4 linked regions of the Nothobranchius furzeri genome follow. The main gene of each other region encodes a partner of the protein of the gene in region 4 in a complex. Links are inferred from orthologs where the notes say so. Each region holds a gene or a part of one and is shown on either strand. Other genes may lie near its edges.

Region 1 (5,454 bases), about 22 Mb from region 4:
TTACAGCAAAACGTGTGCAGATGGGGGCATTTATTTGCATCCGTTGCAGTATAATGATCGGTTCACCAGGGACAAGGGCACGCCACTGGGCAGCCGTGGTCAAATGAGGTAAGTCTGTTCTATTTAATGATTTTCTTTCAACAAGGAAGGACAGTGTCCTCGTAAGCAAAGCGCCTTGACATTGAGAAATACCTTAAATAGACCCACTCCCATTTATTTTAGACTTGATTTTTATGCTTATATGTTACATCCTGGCCATGGAACTATGGACCAGCTCTTTATCCTTGCTAGGGTGATGGAGGGGTCATGGAAGTTTGTCCAACCAATCCACATGTGTTTTGTGGATTTGGAAAAGGCTCATGACCGTGTCCCCAGAGGCCCCCTGTGGGGGGGCACTAAGGAGTGAGGGGTGGATGGTCTTTTGTTATGGGCCATTCAGTCCCTGTACCAGAGGAGTGTGAGTTTGGTCCGCATAGCCGGCAGTAAGTGGGACCTGTTCCCAGTGAGGGTTTGACTTCGCTAGGGCTGCCCTTTGTCACCAGTCCTGTTCACAATCTTTATAGACAGGATTTCTGGGTGCAGCCGTGGTGCAGAGGGTGTCGAGTTTGGTGGCAGGAGAATCTCATCAATCCTTTTTGCGGATGATGTGGTCCTCCTAGCTTCATCATGCTCCGACTTTCAGCTCTCGCTGGGGAAGTTCACAGCCAAGTGTGAAGCGGCTGGGATGAGGATCAGCACCTCCAAGTCTGAGACCATGGTTCTCAATCGGAAAAGGGTGGTTTGCCAACTCCCGGTCGGGAGAGAGGTCCTCCGTCAAATGGAGGAGTTTGAGTATCTCGGGGTCTGGTTCACGAGTGAGGGAAGGAGCGAGCGGGAGATCGACAGGCGGATTGGGGCAGCATCTGCAGTGATACGGGCGCTAAACTGATCTGTCGTGGTGAAGAGGGAACTGAGCTAGAAAGCAAGGATCTCAATTTACTAGTTGATCTACGTCCCAATCCTCACCTATGATCATGAGCTTTGGGTGATGATCGAAAGAACAAGATCGCGGGTACAAGCAGCCAAAATGAGTTTTCTTCGCTGGGTGGCCAGGTTCAGCCTTAGAGATAGAGTGAGGGACTCGGACATCCAGGAGGGACTCGGAGTACAGCCAATGCTCCTCCGCATCGAAAGGAGCCAGTTTAGGTGGTTTGAGCATCTGGTCAGGATGCCTCCTGGACGCCTCTCTCAGGAGGTGTTTTGGGCATGCCCTGCTGGCAGGAGGCCCCCGGGTTGACCCAGGACTACCTGGAGGAAATGCATCTCTAGGTTGGCCAGGGAATGTCTGGGTGTCCCAGCTGAGGAGCTGGCAGACGTGGCTGGGGAGAGGATTAGCCTGGGAGGCCGTACTTGGGATGCTGCCCCCGCGACCCAGATAAGTGGAGGGGGGGAAGGTGAGTATGTTTAAATTGGGCATCAATAAATTCATTTTCAACAACATTTTGATGGATATTTCCAGAGACTAATGGTAAAAACTACACATTGTCATTTTAAATGAGGTAATGTTATAATTAGCAGCCATTAAAACCACCAGAATGGAAGGTTTTGTTATATTTTCAGTCTCAGAAATTCTCTTAAATAACACAAAATCTTCACAAGTCTCCCACATGTCTGACCTGAAAACATTCATTAAAACTGGGCTGTGATGGGATGTAACATATTGCTGCTTTACAGCATTTTGCTGTCCTCTACTGGGTAAAACAACTCCTGCAACACAGGAAGCAATGCTGTGCAGTGATGAGGAAGAACAGGAATGATCAGATCAGAGACATGTTTGGTGACTCATTTTTGTAAAACTACAAGTTCTGCAAAATGCTATGACAAAACACCAAAGGAAAACATGTTCTGATGAAGTGCTTGGTCCCACTCTCACACAGCATGACCTACATTTTCTATAGAAACGTTATTCCTCCCACTAAGGTTTACCATCCGTGTGTCGCTGGCAGCAACTAGCATTGAACAAAGAGGAGCGCTTACCTGCCGCTTGATGAAGCTGGATGTGGTGTCAGATGATGTGCTGCCGTCAGAGCGTTTGAAGCGGCTTTTACGTTTAGGCAACTTCCTGGGCAGCTGTGTGGAAAAGACATGCAGATGTTGAAAGGAAAAAGTCAAAGAAGAGGACGTTCTGTTCTGCTCACAAGTCTGACCTGAAAACGTTAATTAAAAACTGGGCTGTGGTGGGATTTACTGCTTTAGCATCTGTGCAATTGCTGCAGCTCCTAATTGTTTTATTTGTGAGTAGCGTTTGTAATTTTAACCAGCTGAAATAGACCTGAGCGTATGGGCACTGTTTTACCCCAAAGTCTTGTAAATGTCAAGTTTACCTAAAATAGAGCAGACCTCCCTTTTGAATACGTTAAATAACCAATATGGAACTCCACTACATCTATGCAGCCAAATCCATATTCATTTCATTTATTCAGGAAATCTTTTGAGATCATAATCTCTTTTTCAAAGGTGACTGGTGCAAGCTGGCACCCCAATAAAAGTTAAAAGCTCAGATTTCTAAATTTACCAGAATTAATAAAAGAAGTTCGGTTTTAGTCCTTAGTTATACACAGTAGAGTCTAAAAAGAGCATTGCACTCCTCCAATTTCCTGTCTAATAGCAAAAATACTAACAAATTATATATATATAACAACTGACACTCTCTGGAACAAGTACTTCTTGTAATCGGTCTATAAAAAGATAGATTTGCACAAATAACACACATCTGAGCTCTGCAGCATGGTTTGAGCTACACAGAAGCACCTCGCTGATTCCAGGCCCCAACAGGTGAGCCGCAACCACAGACATAAGGCTACAGCAGGTTTGTCGTTTTAACACCGAGGGAAAAAGCCGTCCGTCCGTCCGTGCTGCTGCCTGCTTCTCTGCGTTGATGTAGACGAGACGAGGCAGGAAATCATGCTGAAATAAATAATAAAGCATCACTGCCACAGGCCCGATCTGAGAGTCGGGACCGAATGGGCAGATTTGGGGAGATCTGCGGAGGTGTCAGCCTGTTTCTCTGCGGGTGTGACATGTTGGAGCCTGCCGTGCGGGCTCACAAGCTGCGGTTTCACTGAGGTTACAAAGGGGGGAGAGGAGAAGTACGTGTCCCCCACAACAAGTAGCGTTAGAGATGTCAGCTAGTCGTTTCTAAAGACTTCAGCCGGTCGGGGAAGCGTTGGGAGAAAAGTGAGCGGATTTACCTGAAAGTAATGCGACTGGGAGCCCGTTTCCACAGCAGACAAAGGGTCTACGGAAGATTTGGACATTTTGACTTGCATCATCTATCGACAGCGCAGGGAGGCGGCGGGAGGAACACGGACATGCGTTCCTGGAAGGAGCGAGAACGGGAAACAAGCACATAAATGCATGCAGTCCAACTGAAAACAGGTGTGGGGGAGCGGGAATAATATCCAGAGCGAGTAGAGTAAAGACGAGAGAACGGTTTCGGATAAAAAGGAGGAAATGAATCGTGAGAGGAGGACCCACGGGTGGCTGGAGCTAGATAATGTTCACACACCGAATAGTGTATCCCACTGCCTCCTGCATGCTGATGGCTCCTGCTTAGCACACAAGCACAGAGCAGTAAAATAGAAGGAATGAGTTCACGACTTACGTAGTTTGTATAATTTGACTTGCGTAGTTTGAATAATTGAAGGCGTTTCTGTTATTTAATTATAACTATGCTGTCAACGCTGATTAAAAGCAGTAGTCATTTTAAGTGTGATGTTTTATTTTGAAAATTATGACAGGAAGTACTGATGAGTTATGTCTTATTTAACTTAATGAATGTTTGTAGTAACCGCTTATGTCCACCAGATGGCAGAAAAATCCCTACCGTCGAAAGTTAAGGGACTGATTTCCTGTTTCCATCCAGTTAAAAATATAAATGTCATACTGACAGAGTGTGGCTATAAATGAAATAAAAAGTACATATTACAAGTGATTAAATTAAATGTTCACTTAGACATAAAACATATGAACCAGAACCACATTTCTACTCTGATTCTGGTTGTTATAATTGCATTTGGTTTTCTTTTACTTATTTCACCGTCATTGTGAAATCCAAAAATATGAATGTTTTTTTCCTGTTTACAACAAAAATATTTACTTATTTAAATCTCTCTCTCTCTCTCTCTCTCTCTCTCTCTCTCTCTCTCTCTCTCTCTCTCTCTCTCTCCCTCTGTGTGTGTGCTTATTGAAGCTGGGTAATTATTTGTCTTGAAATAATAAATGATGAATGAAATATTCTGATTATACGTTTCAATTTTGAACATTTGCCCACCTAAAGATAAGGATAAAAAACAACAAAATAAAATTGAAAAATACACATAATAATAATAATAATAATAATAATAATAATAATAACAATAACAATAATATAATATTAATAATAATAGGAAGAAGAAGAAGGAGAAGAAGAAGAAGAAGAATGCCTAGAAAATCCTGAAGAAATTTTAAAAAGGGACCTGCCACAAGATAGTGTATAAGTTAAACATAACTCTTGAGAGGCCCTGCCATGTTATTAATTAATAATGTGCGTAATTTATATTTATGCTAATTTTAAGCAAATGGAGAGGAAGAATAATAATAAAGAGAACAAATCCTCCATAAGGGCCCCTGCTTGCAGCAGCTACCAACAACAACAACAATAATGATAATAATAATAATGATAATGTTAATCCTTCTTATCATGGTGGAGGAGTTTGAGTGTCCTAATGATCCTAGGAGCTTTGTTGTTTGGTAGGGTCTCCCATGGCAAACTGGTCCTAGGGCAAGGGTGAGACGAAAAGTGGTTCTGAAGACCTTTCATGAACACTACATCAGAGAGTTTGAGTACCCGACTCGGAGGGTTACCGGGGTCCCACCCTGGAGCCAGGATTGGGGTTGGGGCCCATGGGCGAGTTCCTGGTGGTCGGGCTTTTGGCCATGGGGACCGGCCGGGCCAGCCCGAACTGCAAACATGGGCTCATCCAACTGTGGACCCATCACCTGCAGGAGGCACATGAAGTGTCTGGTGCATAGTAGATAGGGTGGCAGACCCAGGCAGGAGATTTGGCGGTCTGATCCCCAGACAAGAAAACTGGCTATTGGGACATGGAATGTGACCTCTCTGGCGGGAAAGGAGCTGGAGCTTGTGGATGAGGTTGAGCAGTACCGGCTAGATATAATTGGACTCACCTTGACACATAGCTATCTGCTCTGAAACCCGAGTCCTTGAGAGGGGTTGGACTCTCTTCTTTGCTAGAGTTGATCCAGGTGAGAGGCGGAGGGCTGGGGTGGGATTTTTATTAGCCCCAAGACTCACTGCCTGTATGTTGGGATTTACCCCTGGGGATGAGAGGGTAGCTTCCCTGCTCCTTTGGGTGGGGGAACGGGTCCTGACTGTTGTTTGTGCTTATGCACCAAATAGCAGTTCAGAGTGCC
Region 2 (5,570 bases), on a different chromosome or scaffold from region 4:
GCAGGAGCTGCTTGAGCTAGAAGAACAACATGTTATGGTCTGCGTCCTGCGTCTCCCTCATGTGTCTCCTTGTCTGCATCCCTCCTCATGTGCCTCCTTGTGTTCCCCAGACCACTCCAGGTTTTTTCCCCTTAGGTGTTCCCCCCAGGTTTCAGCGTCCCGGTGTCTCCCCAACCCCCTCCAGGCTCTCTAGGTTTCCCTTACGTTTTTCCTTAGACACCTTTTATCATTAGTCTTCTGTTAAGTGTTTTATCTAGTCTGTTTTCTCCCTCTAGTTCATTTTGCGCCCTTCCCCATTTTTAGGTCTGGTTTCCTCCCCTGCTTCGTTGTGCTCTTCCTTTGTTTATTGGTCTCACCTGTGCACAATTCCCTACTCACCTAGCCCTTGATATAACCTTCAGTGTGGTTGTTGGTCCATTGTTTGTGTCAGCGTTTGCTCATCCCCTCTCTAGGTATTTTGACGTTCTCTAGGTCTCTTGTGTTTTTGGATGTTCCCAGGGTTTTGACTCTTGGTTTTTTTGGATTTTTGGTTTTTGGCTTCCAGCCCTTTGAATTTACCCCTAAATAAAGGATTTTTTACGTTTTCACTACTCCTGCCTTGTGTCATCCTGTGTCTGCATCTTGGGTCCTAACCTCCCCCAACTCACAGCGTGACACAACAACTATTATTAGAAAGAGCACAGCGAGAACGAGTCTTCAGGACTGTGTAAACACTCGTGCTGTTTACATTTTTTAAGGTAAGCTACGTCGTGCCGGAAATGACGTTGGGTTGTTTGGCTGACCAATAACAGACGCCCATGCATACAACGCCGCTGTCCGATGTTTAGAAAATAGAGCTCGACTCCAACCGACATTCCAACACGACCCAACACTGTTGGATCGCCCATACGACGCCACATCATGGCGATCCAACAGATCCGACATGCTGGAGCAATGTCAGTATGAATCAGCCTTAAGGAAGGATCTCTGATTCCTGTCAGGAAAGGGCGGAGAAAGGGTGTGGAGGCTTCCTGTTGGTAAACATCCTCTCAGATAAGTGCATAATTAAAGAGGCTGCATGATGAGGTGGTAAAACACTGACAAGGAATTTTTCTGCTTTTACAGGAGAATCCTCTGTCATTCTGCTCAGAGATTCACCTGCAATCTGATTGCGGTCAGCAGACAGGATCTTTAATCTGAGACACGCCCAGTTCTGAATTCAAGCAAGTTCTCCACCCACAAGTCATTTCTATTTCTCACATCATCTCTTTCCAGATGTTCTAGTTTTATTTTCTCTGTTTGTCGTAGTTATAAATGCATAAAAACAGTGTAACTTTTTGCACGTCAACATGAGAGCTGTGTGACTGATGGGAGGTGTCATACACACATAAAAACACTCAGAAAGCCACGCTGCCTGCACCAGGAGGTCGTCCATCTGTTTCTCACTGCTCCCTCTCAGCTGATAAAAGATCTGATTTCTAAAAGCAGACATGAAGAGGTGAGATGGCGAGAGTGAGCGGGACACTCACAGAAGATGTGGAAGAAGCTGAGGGATGAGAGGGAGCTGGGAAGAGTGGGAGTAAAGAGGAGAGAGCAGGACTTGGCATGGTTTAAAACGCTGGTTGTCTGTGATGAGCTGGTTTTTCTTCTCTAGAGACACAATGACTGATCTCAGTGTGGGTGTGTTTGTTCTAGATATTTTCATCTTAATTTAAAAAACATCACTTTAAAGAGTCATGACTAAACATGCCCACTGTTTAACAACCAAACCATCAGCGCTTCAATGAACCTTTCAACAGACCAGTGTCATTAAAGCATGGCAAATAAAAATAGAAAAAACAGGATGATTTGGTGTATACTTTAATGGGCAAACTGGGCTATAATATATACATACATACATACATACATATATATATATATATATATATATATATATATATATATATATATATATATATATATATATACGTGTGTATATATACATATACATATATATATATATATATATATATATATATATATATGTATATATATATATATACATACATATATATACATATATATATATATATATACATATACATATATATACATATATATACATATATATATGTATATATACACACGTATATATATATATATATATATATATATGGTAAATGGTAAATGGCCTGTATTTGATATAGCGCCTTCTAGAGTCCTGGAACCCCCCAAGGCGCTTTCCAACGCAATCAGTCATTCACCCATTCACACACACATTCACACACTGGTGGGGATGAGCTACAATGTAGCCACAGCTGCCCTGGGGCGCACTGACAGAGGCGAGGCTGCCGAGCACTGGCGCCACCGGTCTCTCCGACCACCACCAGCAGGCAAGGTGGGTTAAGTGTCTTGCCCAAGGACACAATGACAGCGACAGACTGAGCGGGGCTCAAACCTGCAACCTTCCGATTGCGGGGCGAGCACTTAACTCCTGTGCCACCGTCGCCCACATATACACATATATATATGTGTGTATATATATATATATATATATATATATATATATATATATATATATATATATATATATATATATATGTATATATACATAACATATATATACATATATACATATATATATACATATGTGTGTGTATATATATATATATATATATATATATATATATATATCCAAATTAGTTTTAATATAAATTTTGCCCACTTTTTCAGCAGTTTTACTTTCTCAGTTAAGTGTTTCTTTTACTATCTTCATCATTATTATTATTACTCACATTTTTATTAATACACCTCCTGTTTATTATTTATTTTGGCTAGTTAAGTTTAGTGCATGCTTCAGTAAAACATACAGACAAGAATCCTCATTAATTATCTTTAAACAGTTGCAGATTACAGTAATTCCCTAAATGCTTACCATGCCGATCAGATGTGTAGCCTAAAGGATTTTAATCATTTACTCAGATCAACAACTCGTTGGACGTCTACGTGGTACATTCCGGTTAATTTGTGTTAGACAACAGGCGTTTCATTTGTGCTTAAAGCGCCAACAGACTTGCTGTTTCCTACGTACAAAATGATCGACTATAAAACAACAAACCCCATTTCTCTATTAGAAAATAAAAGCGCAGCTGTAACGCGCGCGCACAAGCAGCAGACCGAAGAACAACCTGTTAATCTCCGGAATGGAGCATCATCAACGTGTAAACAGTGAAAAGAGGCGATAGGTGACATGTCTCTGTGGTTCTTACCTGTGGATGGTGGTCGATCATGCCCATGGGGATCTCCTGGTTGGGGGTCGAAGGCGTCCTGGACATACTATTACTTTTCTGTACCATTTGATTTCAGTTTCGAGGAATCTCTTTCAGTCTTGTTAATTTATGACGGTGCTGATAGTCGCATCTTTTTTATTTTACTTACTTTATCTTTTTATTTCTCGTCTAGGGAAGGAGGAAAAGCCGCTGATGTTTCTGAGCTGGTTGGTTAAATAATGGCAACAGCTGCCTTCCTCCAGCCTTCAGCTACTGTCACCAAGTACCGACAGGCTGGGAGGGCTCCGCACCGACGCAAGAGCGTTTCCGGTTACAGAATAAGAGTTTTTAATATAATAATAATAATAATAATAATAATAATAATTATTATTATTATTATTATTATTATTATTATTATTATTATTATTATTATTATTATTATTATTATTATTATTATTACAATGATGAAAATTCTACACCAAAATTCAAACCACAGTGTTCCCAGTTGCCCTGCATGTTTTTTTTGTTTGTTTTTTGCCATGTTTATCAATCTTTAATACGTGGAAATCGAATAAAACTTATTACACAGCATCATGGACAGAATTACAATGAGGGTGAATGAATGTTAATAACGAGCTACCCAAAGAGACATTTGAGACTGAAAATCCAGATCCAAACAAGCACCTTGAGAAGCAGAGTGTGCTTTTATTTTGAAGGCAACATCCTCCAACTACTGCCGTGCTTGTGTTTTTCATCCCTCTTGACGCCCTCTCTGTTCCTGTGTGCGCTCATCAGCCTCCAGCTGGAAGCCGAGGTCCACGCCCCAGTGAAGAGACCCCACCTTTACGGTGATGAGTGATGAGACCGCAGCAGAGCTCCATGACAGGCTGGAGGTGTTCAGACCTCCCCAGAGTCCCGCGGGGCTGCCTGTAAAACAGAAGGAACCATCTCAGCCTGTCCTTAGTTTTCTCCTGGATCAGAGTCTGAAGAGGCTGAGTGAGACTACCCAGAGACCCTGCTCCATTTGTGACCTAAGGTTGACCCCAGAGTAGGAGTGTTGACGTCACACCAGAGACAAACACGTGTAAAGATTCATTTCAGCTTTACCTTTCATGAATTTTGTGTTTTCCCATTTTTAATTTTTAAAAATGATTCAGTTTGAGAACAATAATTGCGTAAAATATTTTAAGGTAACAGAATTCATGCTGAACTTTAATTTAGTTTCCTTTCACATTAAACTGAGCAGAACTGTACTAATCTGTATATTCACTTTTCCTAATAATAGCTAGAATATATATATATATATATATATATATATATATATATATATATATATATATATATATATATATATATGTATATATACATACATACATAAGCATAAAAGGCATTTCCTGCCGTTTGGCCACAAAGAACAGTCATAAATAATGGTGGAGCCGTCAGAGCCGGATTAACGCAAAGGCAAAGTAGGCACGTGCCTAGGGCCTGATTGGCTGGATGGGGCCCAGACAGAGGGACAAAATTAAAAATAAATAAATCAAAAATAAAATGTACAAATGTCCTATGATAGAATTTGTAGATAGGACTCATATCTACAGTTTATTTCAATATTTTTTAATTAACTAAAAATAGTGACAATGTTTATCTTGAACATAGACCGTTACATTAGCTACGTCACATTAACGCCAGCCCATGACTGTAGCTTACAACTTGGGCGCCACCTAATTAAGGGCGTCGGTGAAGCGGTCAGAGTCAGAGCGGGACACAACAAAGCTAGCAGGAGTTTTTGAGTAGGCTAACTTTCACGATGCTTTCAGGTGCGTCAAAATGTAAAAAGAAAAAAAATGAAGAGGAACAAAAGACGAGACAGCGGGGAGCTTTACAGAAGTTTCTGTCGAGCTGCTCGGGCAGCCGGCCGACAGCTGTGAACCTGCGATAGGTCAGCAGAGCCAAAGGCCGGGCCCGAGCCAGACCCGGAGGAGACACGACCCGAAGATGTGGCGGGAAATGCGGCGTAAGACGCTGTTGCGCTAACGCCGTCACAGAAGGACGAACTGGAAGAACAGCAGCCAGCCAGAAGTGAGCCCAATGTAGTTTTGCAGCAGGAGCCTCTAGACCCAGAAAGGGTGTTAACAAGCTTCATCTGATCCTGCAGTGGTACCAAACTGATGACAGGATGCGTGAGTACTTTGCACTAAACCATCCCTCTCAAAATATTGGATATTTCTCTGCATCACAGAGGAAATCTGGAGACATAAACCGAAGCTCAACCAAGGAACATTTCTTTAGACGTGTTTCTGCTGTGACTGAGGCCCTGTGATGCTGGAAGGTTGAAGATTATCC
Region 3 (5,319 bases), on a different chromosome or scaffold from region 4:
TCCCTTCTGCTCTTTGTCAAACTACAAAGTCAGTTTTATCAACAGCATTGCAGGATTATTTGTCACGTCTTAAAAAGCTGATACCATTTACTGCAACTTCCTGAGAAATGTTGAAACAATAGAAGGAAGTCCATCACATTTTCTCTTATTCTAGCGAATTTGCTGTTATTTTAGAAATACCAGCCCCATTGGCATTTCCAGGAAAGCACCAGACCACACTTGTTTGTGTGTAAATCTGCTCTTTGGCAGCATTAATGCCATTTTTTTTTTCTTTTACATGTGTGCATCTCTTCAAGGCAGCTGCTGTCAGGATGGAGGAAGGAAGGGCTTTCATCTGGGGCATGTTGATGTGTCCGCTGACTGCTCTGTCAAAATATGAGCTCAGCTTTGGGGGTCATCGAGGCAGCAGAAAAGAACAGGAAACATAAAAATATTTCCCGTTGGATCTAAGAGATGTCTATGCATGGCGATTCTTTTGCACCTGTTATCGTTGTCACACAAAACGACACTAGATCTATTGATTGTTTCCTATTGCAGATGTGCTCTTTTAAAGAGTCTGCAAATGTGTTTCTCTGCTGGTCTTTCTGCAGTGGTTTAATTTAGCTGCTGAAAACAACCACAAGCATCTGTGAGATGTTGAGACGAAACCGTGTTAGTCAGAGATGAACATTTAAAAATGATAAAACAAGAAATACGTGGATAATGTGGGGAAGAAAACTGCTAAACTGGGTATTGCACTTGCTATATACATTTAGTTTTTTTCTTTTTTATTGCATACATTTGAATAACTCTAAAATACAAACAGACTGATTTCTCACTGCCCTTTTTAGTTACATGCAAATTCACACACAGCCACCAGGGGGCAATGACGAACAGCAAAAAATATCAGCTAAACCAATTTCTGCATGTGTTTTATTTGTCAAACCAAGAAAAACAGCAAACATACTCTACTTACTTTGATGTAGGTTTGATGCAGCTGTATAGACAGGTTATAAATTAAAAGGGTCACACAGGTTATAGGCTAAAAACATAGACTCACGCTCTGATTCTTATAGGAATTTGTGAAATAATCTAAAATATTGCATTAATTGTCTGCAGAAACAGAAAAATACAAGAACAAATATTAGATATATTGTTCTTTGAACCGATAATTTACATGATCTAATTAAAGGGAAAACGCAACAGCAGCAGGTAGGAAAGCGCCGCTAACACTGGACGTAGAATCATAACCAAGGTGTTGTGGTCACATTTGTAACCTGTTAATTCAGTAGCAGCAGAAACACGATCAGTGAATCCTAAGGATGCATCGGTCCAGTCAGGTGAGCTGGAAGAGAGCAGGTGGAGGAATATAAATATCACACAACCACAAGAACCTTCAAAGTTTTAAAATTGTGCATGAGAATGGTTGCAGCTGGGTCGGATGGGTAAAGGTTGTGTGTGATATTTAAGAGAAAACATAATTTCTAACTGATGAAAGCAACAAGGATCACCAAGATTAGATTGTTTTCCCTTTTCTTTCACCTTGGAAGTGGATGAAGTTGTACAAAAACGTTTACACTAATAATAAGTTTATGCTTTTCAACTAATTTAACCACTGGTAGGTTCTTCAAGCAATCATTCTTGTTTATTAGATTTTATGCGATCCAGTTTACTCTTTAGGGCCAAATTCTTTTTCTTCTGAGTCCAGTTGCTGTATTTATTGTAGACAGGAGAAAAAGAAGTCTACGGTGACCTGAGTGACCCTACAGGTGAAACTAAAATGCAAAAGTCCATTTATGTCAGTAAGTCACCTTAGACTGAGACACCATCTAAAGGAACCATTTGCAGGTGTTTGGATATATTAGCTGATTAAAGTGTGACACTTAAAAGTGGGGTTTTCATGTTCTGTAATCCATAATAATCTAATTTATAACAAATCAATACTTAAAATATTTGTCTTTGCATGGAATGAGTCTACCTCATATATAAGTTTCACCTTTTAGGTTGTATCACTGACAAAGATGAAGTTTTGCATCATTTTCAAAATGTTTGAGTTTCATCTTAAATGCCTATTCTGAACAGGCCCCTCCCATTGATGGTGTACCACCTTAAGTACAAACTATCAAATAAACAAAGTCTTATCCTATATTTCCACTTGTCAGTTGGATGACTTGCACTTTTCCTTTTTTGTTCATCCTTCACCTGGACGCTGCAACTCATCCCATCCTTTGATCAGGTGAGGAGGCAGAGGAGTTGGAGAAGAGGAGCAGCGGGTCTCAGTCCGTGTGGGAAGGGCTGATCTGATGAGCAGGCTTTCAGATGCTGAAGGCTTTTCATTTGGAAAACAAACACCAAACATCTCGATGCCCGCTGGGTTGTAGCGGCGCCTTGTGTCCGTTTCCGTTCTCCTCGACGGCGTCACCATGAGTTTTGTTTTTTATTTCAGCCAGAACTCAGCTTCTTCCTCCAGCGAAGCGGTCCTGGTGAACGCGTTTGTTCGCGTTCCCTAATGGTCGTCAACAACAGTCCGACAACTAAAGCAGGAGCAGCTCCGGACCGACTCATGGAGAGCGCAGAACACCTGGTGTTACAGGTGAGTTCGTCTCAGTTTGGTTCAGTCACGGATGTTCATATTAACCGTGATTCTGTCCCAAAAAGTATTACTCATTCGTCTCGTAATTCAGGGGGGAAAAAACAACTATTATGACTTTTAATCCCAGAACTTTGACCTCCGAATTTAAGCGTTATAAGAATTCTGACTTTTGATATCAGAGTTATAACTTTGATGCCCAAATTCTGATTTTTAAGAGCAGAATTATGAGTTTAACGCCTGAAATTAGAGTCCGACTGATAGTTTTCCCATTGCTGATCCCAATTTGTAGGAGACATGGTCGGCCGATGGTCATGTGTGCTGCCGGTTTTTATGGGCCGATATCTAAATGTTTTTCACCTTTTTTAATGCAAAAATGTCACTAAAAACATCAGTTAAAGAAAGCACATTTTTACTCTGAATTTCACTAACTGTAAAATCTTAACTTTAAAGTTAAAGTCAGACATTTAAATAAAGGTGATTTAGAGTATTTATTATAGCGCCTTCCTAGGGTTCTACAACCCCCCAAGGCGCTTCACAACACAATCAGTCATTCACCCATCCACACACTGGTCAGCTACAATGTAGCCACTGCTGCCCTGGTGCTGCCGAGCATTGGCGCCACCGGTCCCTCTGACCACCACCAGCCAACAAGTCGGGTAAAGTGTCTTGCCCAAGGACACAACAGCAGCATTCTCTGGTGGAAACTGGGATTGAACAACCTTCTGATTACTGGGCAACTCGCTCAACCTACAGAGCTACTGCTGCCCAGATGTTATTAGTGAACATGAAATTACATTTAAATGAAATTCTGCAACAGTTGGACAATGTTTTATAGAGCAACAACAAATAAGGATTTAGGTAGAGAGATCTCAATCAAGTTTTTTTACTCCGATTCCAAGAAATTTGATTTAGAGCGTCTGCTGATACTGAGTCCTGATCCAATACTTTTCAGAAAAGCATTAAAATAAAATAAAGAAAGAAAAAGTTGTCCTTTACATTTCACTTTCACTTGTTTAGGAAGTTAATTGATTAAAAACATGTTAACATCATGAAATAAAAATTTAAACCAAACCATTTTTGTTCCGTTTGAATATCTCTTGTTTCAGGATGAAATTAGAAAGTTATATTTGTTGTTTTATAAGATATAATCTGATCTTTTTCACCCAATTCTAAACTTCTTAAAATCTCATGATCTGGCCCAATTTCCGATCACGTGATCAGATCGGACCATCCCTATATTTAGCGTTTTCTAGGCATTTTAGCACGTGAGTTAGGTCAATGTTTCTGTTTCATCAGGGGTGTGTTGTGACTCATTGGGGGATAACTTTAAAGAGACAATGTGTTTTTACCATTCATTTCTGGAAATATCCATCAAATTGTTGTTGAAAATGAATGAAATGATGCCCAGTTGTTGAAAAATATTGACGGCTTTGTAACATATAACCATAAAAATACTTGGGAGTGGGTCTATGTCTCTGGGCGACACCATATTAGATGCCATGCTTCCTTCTACAGGAGCCCATGAGGACAAAATGCATTTACTGATTTGTAACAAACGGTTACAAAACGTTTGTCCTTCTTAAATGTTGTTTTCAGTGATGAAAGGGAGTCTGATGCACTTGTTATTTTGCGAAAATTTGCACTCCCCAGGGCTTTTTGACCCTAACCCCGGGTTTCCACGGGAGCCGTCAGCAGCACGTTACTGCAGCAGCACGTCTTGCTCGCGTAAGCTGGTGCTTGGCCCTTCCCACGAGGCGCGAAGCAGCAGGGGAGCAGCTGTCACCTACAGAGCACGAAGTCACACGAGTGACTTCATCAGTAAACACAACAACAAGCAGGAGAAAACTACAACATGGTTTGTGTTTTATGTTCTGTCCGTTTTATAATCGCCAATACGGACCTGAAAAACAAAGGAGACCGCTAGCTAGGTGATAACTTCTCACGGGGACGCACAGTTAGTAACCTTTTTTAAAAGTAAAGCAACCGGAAGGCAGTACGTTCTTTATTCTGAAAATCTCTGTAGCTTCTCTCCATTTCCGCGTCCGATTTCCTGTCTTTCCTTCCCCAAAAATGTCGAACTTGACCCGTTTCAGAGGCGTCGCGCGTAGAAAATAGAACCGGCGCGTAAAGGCCGCGACATGCTGCTCCTGAGACGCGGCCGACTCGCGCTGCTGACGGCTGCCGACGGCTCCAGTGGAAAAGGTTCTGTTGACCACAGCGGTTCCTATCAGCAGCTATGACGTGCTGCTGCAGTAACGTGCTGCTGACGGCTCCCGTGGAAAGCCGGGGTAATGGGCATCCGTTGGTGAGGTCTTACTCCAACACAAAAATACTGCTTGTTTGCAACGATTTAGGTATCTACAGCCCCCTATCACCAGGAAAAACGCACACTGTCACTTCGACAGATATTATTTTATACACTTCTCCATGTAATGCATTTTTATTTTCTTGTCTGATTTTGATTACCTTCATTAAAATTTATATTTTGAATAACAAACAGCTAATTCAACAGATTAATTTGGCCAAACGATGTGTTCGTAGCAAAAAAATCATAGTTTTCACAGACTGTTTGAGCTTTGTAATGAGTATTTGCAATATGTGCATTTAGCATTAAATGTGTGTATTTGTTTATGTCTGGCTCCATTATAACAATGATTGACATGACCAGCCTTTGTTTTGTATTCATGTTTAACACGTCCTGGGGCTTTGGGCTGGAATAAAATACCAACATGTATTTCTACTTTACA
Region 4 (5,426 bases):
AGTGCATCTGCTTTAATCAATTATTTTTCAAATGTGTGCTTTCATACCTTTGTTGGGTTTGTTTTACACAATGATGTGTTTCTGAAATGTGTTTTATTGTGTTTTTATTGATGAAACTCATCGTAAATACTCACATTTTTCTTGTCATTTTCATTCTTTTTGCGCTCCTTGTTCGCCATGATGACACCAACTCTCAGTGTGTCAAAGACTGGGTCGTTTCGGTTTGGGTTGTCTGGTGTCGGATGGAAAATTTTGGCCAGAAAATATCAGCACTTTCAATTATAAAGCTTTATTTAATGAATAATCTGTAGAAAATGCTATAGTCCAGGCATTACAAACATTAGATTTTTTTATCTCAAATTTTTAGGGATGCACTGATACAAAAAATGGGCTAATATTAAATGGCTATTATTAGACCATGCTGAAGAATTTGATGTTTAATATGTACATGGCATGTAAAAGTTGTGTCATTAAAAGAGTGAAAATCAACTCATTATTTCTGATATTACATTTTAAAGGTGCACTATGTAAAAATATAGTGAAAAATCTACAGTGAGAAAATCCAAAAAGTGTTGGTCATTTTAGAAGGAAGGTTATATTTAAACACATTTCATATCCAGCTGGCTGTGAGGATTGTCAGTTCATCTCATTTCAAAACAAAGGAAAGATGGACGTAACTAGTGTTTACTACCAGTGAGTGTTGTCATGATCCGCCCCGGCCTCCCTGACTGTGTCTCTCCTGCCCTGATTAGCCTTATTGTTCTCACCTGTCCCTCATTACTCTGCCCATGTGTTCCTGATTCCCTTGTGTATTTATACCTCCCTCCTTGTTGCTGTCTTTGTCGGTTCATTGTCGTTTGTGCATGTTCGTTCGTCCTGTTGCTCCCAGTCTACGATTAAACATCTTTTAATTTTTTCATCCGTTGCCTGCTCATCTGCCTCCTGAAACCCACCACCCGCAGAACATGACAAGTGTGGGGTTGTTGTGTCTCCTGCGAGCTAATACTGCAGCGCCGATAGTTGTAATTTGACTACGGCCGGCAAAAAGCTCCAGAGTTGTTTAAAGTGATTGCAGCAACCAGATTTTACCACAGATTGTCATATTTACTTCATTTCTACATAATGCACCTTAAATGCCAACATTAGCTGTTAGTAACGGACATCCCTAAAATATAATTACACCTTTGTAAGGAAGATTTTTCAACATTGGGCACTTCTAACCATTATAAATTGTAGATTGCTCTCAATGATTGATTGATTGACTGATTGACATGATTAAAAATTCACTGCATGACCATCTCTCTCCAAGATACAACAATAGCAACTAGATGGAAGAAAGTATCAGCCAAGTTTTACTTATTGGACCGATACACAGATAAAAAACAAACATCAGCCGATATGATGTTGATGTCGATATTTCCGACCTCCCTACTAATTTTACACATCTGCTTAAAAGAATTCACCGTAAAATTTAATTATTTTACTCTGATTTAGCAGTAATAAATAAAGGATTACTAATTCTAGGAGTGATTGAAGGTTTGATGGACTCACTTGGATCTGGGATGTCGCTGCTGTACAGAGGAGAACTATAGGCTCTTCTAAAGCCAGGTGGCTACAAGACAAAGAAAAAAAAAGAAAAAATTTCAACTAAAACCTTCCATTTAGTCCTGTAGTGCTTTTTTAGACATTTAAATTCAAATGTGTGTGAGAGAGAGAAAACTCACGATTTTTCCAAAGCACTTCTGGAACTCGACATAGGACTGACACGAATGGTGGATGTTGGTCTTGCAGTTTTTACACCTCAGACAAAATTTGTTGTTCACTAAGAGATGTGCAAAGTTAACCGAATCATCATAAATCTCAAAATATGTCTCGTGATATTTTCTGGGTTAAACACGTACAGACTATCATGCGAGCGCAGACGTCACAGAACTTGGGTTTCTTGCAGTAATGGTCCTTAAACTTGTGAGGTTTGTCATTGATCCGAACAATGGGCTCGGAAGGAGGTTCTGGTTCCTTCTCCTCTACCTCCACCTCCTCCTCATAAATAAAATAGACCTGCAAGCAAAGACGAAGAAGAGAACAGTTCCATACAGGTGATCAGGACTTATTTATTAACTCATGAGATATAAACAAACACCATATTGCAGTCCCGTCCCAGCTGGAGGCTATTTTAATCAGCCTGAGAACGGCTGCTAATAGCGAGTGGTTGACGTGGTGCTGCCACTCACCGTGTCTCCTTCCTCCCTCACTACATTGTCAGGGGCTGGAGGATTGTCGTGGATGTCCACGGAGTTTTTGTCATCCTCTCTAAGAAGCACAAAGAGAAAGATGAAGACCAACTGAAGCCACCTGCCATGACTGTGGTGTAAAAACGTATCGCAGAGGGAACATCTGGATCATGTGAGGAGATTTATCAGCAAACGTTAATGTGAAAACTGCTCAAAGTTTGAAGGACATTTTTTTTTACATCGCACCTTTTCCCATCATGCACAAACATCAACCAGCTGGTGATAGGGCTCCAGGATCCAGACCAGTTACATATAAATCCAAACACACACCTTTTTGATGAGTGAACTCTTAAACCAGGAACATTGAGGAGAACCATGATGTGCTTCAACAAGATTCCCCGTTCATCACCTCAAACAAACCTGATTTTAGTCGCACTGGTAAATTTAGAGCTCAGATTTTATTTAGTGAAACCCACAGAGATGTTAGAAACATGCAGCACATGGACATGAACTGTACTCACTGATCCATGGAGTGCTGGAAATATCAGTATACTGCACCCTTAAAAGAAATCATGTACATTTTACTGTCTGTCTTTTCTCAAGATGCACTTGCAGTTTGTCAGTAGCTCGTTTTTCCTAAATGCAAAACAAGGCCACATCTTTTGGATTGCATGTTTCTTTTCTGATTTGCCTACATTTTGAAGGACTTGTTTGTTTTTAAGCACCAAACACGTTCCTGGATGACAAGGGAAATTGTTGCTATAGTTGAAATTCACTATTTCAGACAAGGATCTGGTCAAATTATTAACTATAAAGCAAGCAGAGACATAAAACATGTCTTTAGTCTCTCTCTGTGTGACATTCGGAGCTAATACCTTGTAGCAAACAGTGGTAAAGAGCATTTGTCATCCTGACCTGCTCTATTCTTGGTTTTTGAAATTTGATCTGAAAACTAAATTTAGGAACTGCTGCATGTCAGGAAAATATTCCAGACAGCATAAAAGAATTTCAGGAAAAATGAGTAAATAACGGGCTAAATGGATGTAGCATTCACACAACGTTCCTACAAAACGATTCCATTAGGCATTTTTGCTACTTGAGACATAATTAAAAATTACACATAAACTTCACCATCACTTACCAAGTTATTAGAGGTTACACAGAAAAGGTAAATAAAAAAATGCTTCCCTTCACCTGCTAGATTTTTCTGAAGTGTTATGTGGCCATTGAAGCAGAGTTTGACTTACCAACTGACCAAAATGCTCCCTCACTTTTCAGCACTTCTGGATCCAGTACTGTATGGTCCCTCTGTGTTTCCTTCAGGTTATTCCCACACTGGGCGTGAATGCTGAGTGCGACCCAGATATTTATTAAAGCTGTAAGTTTGTGTATCTATGGGTGTAATTGTGAGCATGACAGGCTGAGCACTGCTTTGTGACGTTGACAGTTTGCAACAGCTGAAGGACCTCAAACTAAGCACCAGTGACGATGAGAAATCAGATATGTTCTCTACACACACACACACACACACACACACACACACACACACACACACACACACACACACACACACACACACACATACACACACACACACACACACACACACACACACACACACGCACGCACGCACGCACGCACGCACACACACACAAAGGTATCTGTCCTGCTCATGGGCCTGTATCCCTCCATTCTTTTGGGAGACCAAGGAGAAACAACAAAAATGACTACATCTCTTTCAAAGTTGTAAAAACTATTTTATTTATATATATGTTCAAGTTGTTCTGAATGCTAGTAGATGCTGCAAAAGCTGGATAAATACATAAAAGAAACATTGATTTTTAAACAATAACTGCCATGTAACTCAACCACTCTAGCAAGCATCTTTATTCGTTGTTTTATTTCATTTGTAACAAATAATCCTATAAAGTTTTTCCTCTGTTTATATACAAAATATTTTTGAGCTGTCAGCCCAGTATTAACTCCAACTCAGAATACTTTTTTACAAAGGTGTATTTTGTTGATGTAGAGGTTAAAACGTTGTACACAAATATAATACATTTATTTGTTTGTGTATTTATTAGTTGTTTACGGAATATTATTCTGTTATGTCCTGTCCACCAAACAGCGCCCCCTGTGGATTGACGTCTGACTGGAACACTACAAATGTCTCGTTGCATGTTGGGTACAATATTCCTTACGTGCTCAGTGCGCCTGCGCAAAACAAAACTCCATTATTTTTTTCTCGGAATTTGTAAGAAAAAAACAGAGGGTAACTGTGAATTGGGGATTACACGGGTCGTTATGTTTGTCGGAATACCATTGAATGCTATGCGGATTAGCAGAAGAAAGACCAAAGCGACGGCTGGATAGGTGTGGAGCGGGAACGGGACATCCCTCTGTCTTTGTGGGACACTCTAGAACAAGTAAATATCACTGAGTTAGCCCCTCCAGTTAGCCTAGCTGGGAACGCTAGCCTCCAGAAGAACCCAGGCGTAGTAAAATGAAGCGTTATTGCCCCCTTTGTTTTTAAGTCCGACTGGAAGACGTTGACTAACATTTGAGTGCTGACTCGCCGTGCCAGTTCGTGATTTGGATTATGTAATGATTCGTTTTAGTTATTAGAGTGTTGATCGTTTTCTACGTATTTTATTTAGTATTAATTTAGTAGTCCTAACTAGCTAACTCTTGATTTTCCAGCGAACGAAAAAGAGCGAAGACTTCTAAACTTGGTGGTCAACACATAGCTTGACGCAGAGAAAGATTGTTCACAACATGTTGACGTTAGCTAACAAATATTTGTTAATAAGTGAAATGTGTGGATAAGTTTCATGAAGGTTTTTAGCTAAACAATGTCGTGCAACGCTCGTTTCTTGTACCCGTAGCTAAGACACTAGAGTTTTGCATCGGGAGTGTTTAGTGCTCCTGACAGCTGTCACGACAACAGAGTACCAAGTGGATTTAGCCTGTTAGCTTAGCTGTTAGCTTACACGTTAGCTGCAATATTTATACCGTAATGTTGTTAAACGCATGCATTTAGACGTTTTTCAGACTCCGTGGGATTTAATTTAAGTCTATTTTCCATTGCTTGTTGTTTTCTGACTTTGTTTTGGGAGAGGCAACTGTTTACATTATAGCGAATCAACTACAGGCCTACCCAAACACACCCTCCTACTTCAAAAAAGCCACAGTTTG

Evidence for each region. The genes of interacting proteins can lie anywhere in the genome.
Region 1: stac3 (region 4) and cacnb3a share a complex: the UniProt entries of both Homo sapiens proteins name them as parts of the calcium channel complex. The link is inferred for Nothobranchius furzeri from reciprocal best matches to the Homo sapiens genes STAC3 and CACNB3.
Region 2: stac3 (region 4) and cacnb1 share a complex: the UniProt entries of both Homo sapiens proteins name them as parts of the calcium channel complex. The link is inferred for Nothobranchius furzeri from reciprocal best matches to the Homo sapiens genes STAC3 and CACNB1.
Region 3: stac3 (region 4) and cacnb2a share a complex: the UniProt entries of both Homo sapiens proteins name them as parts of the calcium channel complex. The link is inferred for Nothobranchius furzeri from reciprocal best matches to the Homo sapiens genes STAC3 and CACNB2.

The regions. Positions count from the first base shown.
Region 1 is NC_091755.1:54,936,265-54,941,718, forward strand, and holds the start of cacnb3a (voltage-dependent L-type calcium channel subunit beta-3a), read right to left. Parts: upstream 3,451-5,454; 5' UTR 3,312-3,450; coding exon 3,231-3,311; intron 2,110-3,230; coding exon 2,017-2,109; intron 1-2,016. UniProt on the Homo sapiens protein: Regulatory subunit of the voltage-gated calcium channel that gives rise to L-type calcium currents. Increases CACNA1B peak calcium current and shifts the voltage dependencies of channel activation and inactivation.
Region 2 is NC_091745.1:12,111,152-12,116,721, forward strand, and holds the start of cacnb1 (voltage-dependent L-type calcium channel subunit beta-1), read right to left. Parts: upstream 3,451-5,570; 5' UTR 3,315-3,450; coding exon 3,228-3,314; intron 1-3,227. UniProt on the Homo sapiens protein: Regulatory subunit of L-type calcium channels. Regulates the activity of L-type calcium channels that contain CACNA1A as pore-forming subunit.
Region 3 is NC_091747.1:46,810,443-46,815,761, forward strand, and holds the start of cacnb2a (voltage-dependent L-type calcium channel subunit beta-2a), read left to right. Parts: upstream 1-1,869; 5' UTR 1,870-2,488; coding exon 2,489-2,572; intron 2,573-5,319. UniProt on the Homo sapiens protein: Beta subunit of voltage-dependent calcium channels which contributes to the function of the calcium channel by increasing peak calcium current. Plays a role in shifting voltage dependencies of activation and inactivation of the channel.
Region 4 is NC_091755.1:32,734,360-32,739,785, reverse strand, and holds the start of stac3 (SH3 and cysteine-rich domain-containing protein 3), read right to left. Parts: upstream 3,678-5,426; 5' UTR 3,479-3,677; intron 2,791-3,478; 5' UTR 2,761-2,790; coding exon 2,753-2,760; intron 2,311-2,752; coding exon 2,232-2,310; intron 2,059-2,231; coding exon 1,902-2,058; intron 1,823-1,901; coding exon 1,725-1,822; intron 1,613-1,724; coding exon 1,552-1,612; intron 233-1,551; coding exon 135-232; intron 1-134. UniProt on the Homo sapiens protein: Required for normal excitation-contraction coupling in skeletal muscle and for normal muscle contraction in response to membrane depolarization. Required for normal Ca(2+) release from the sarcplasmic reticulum, which ultimately leads to muscle contraction.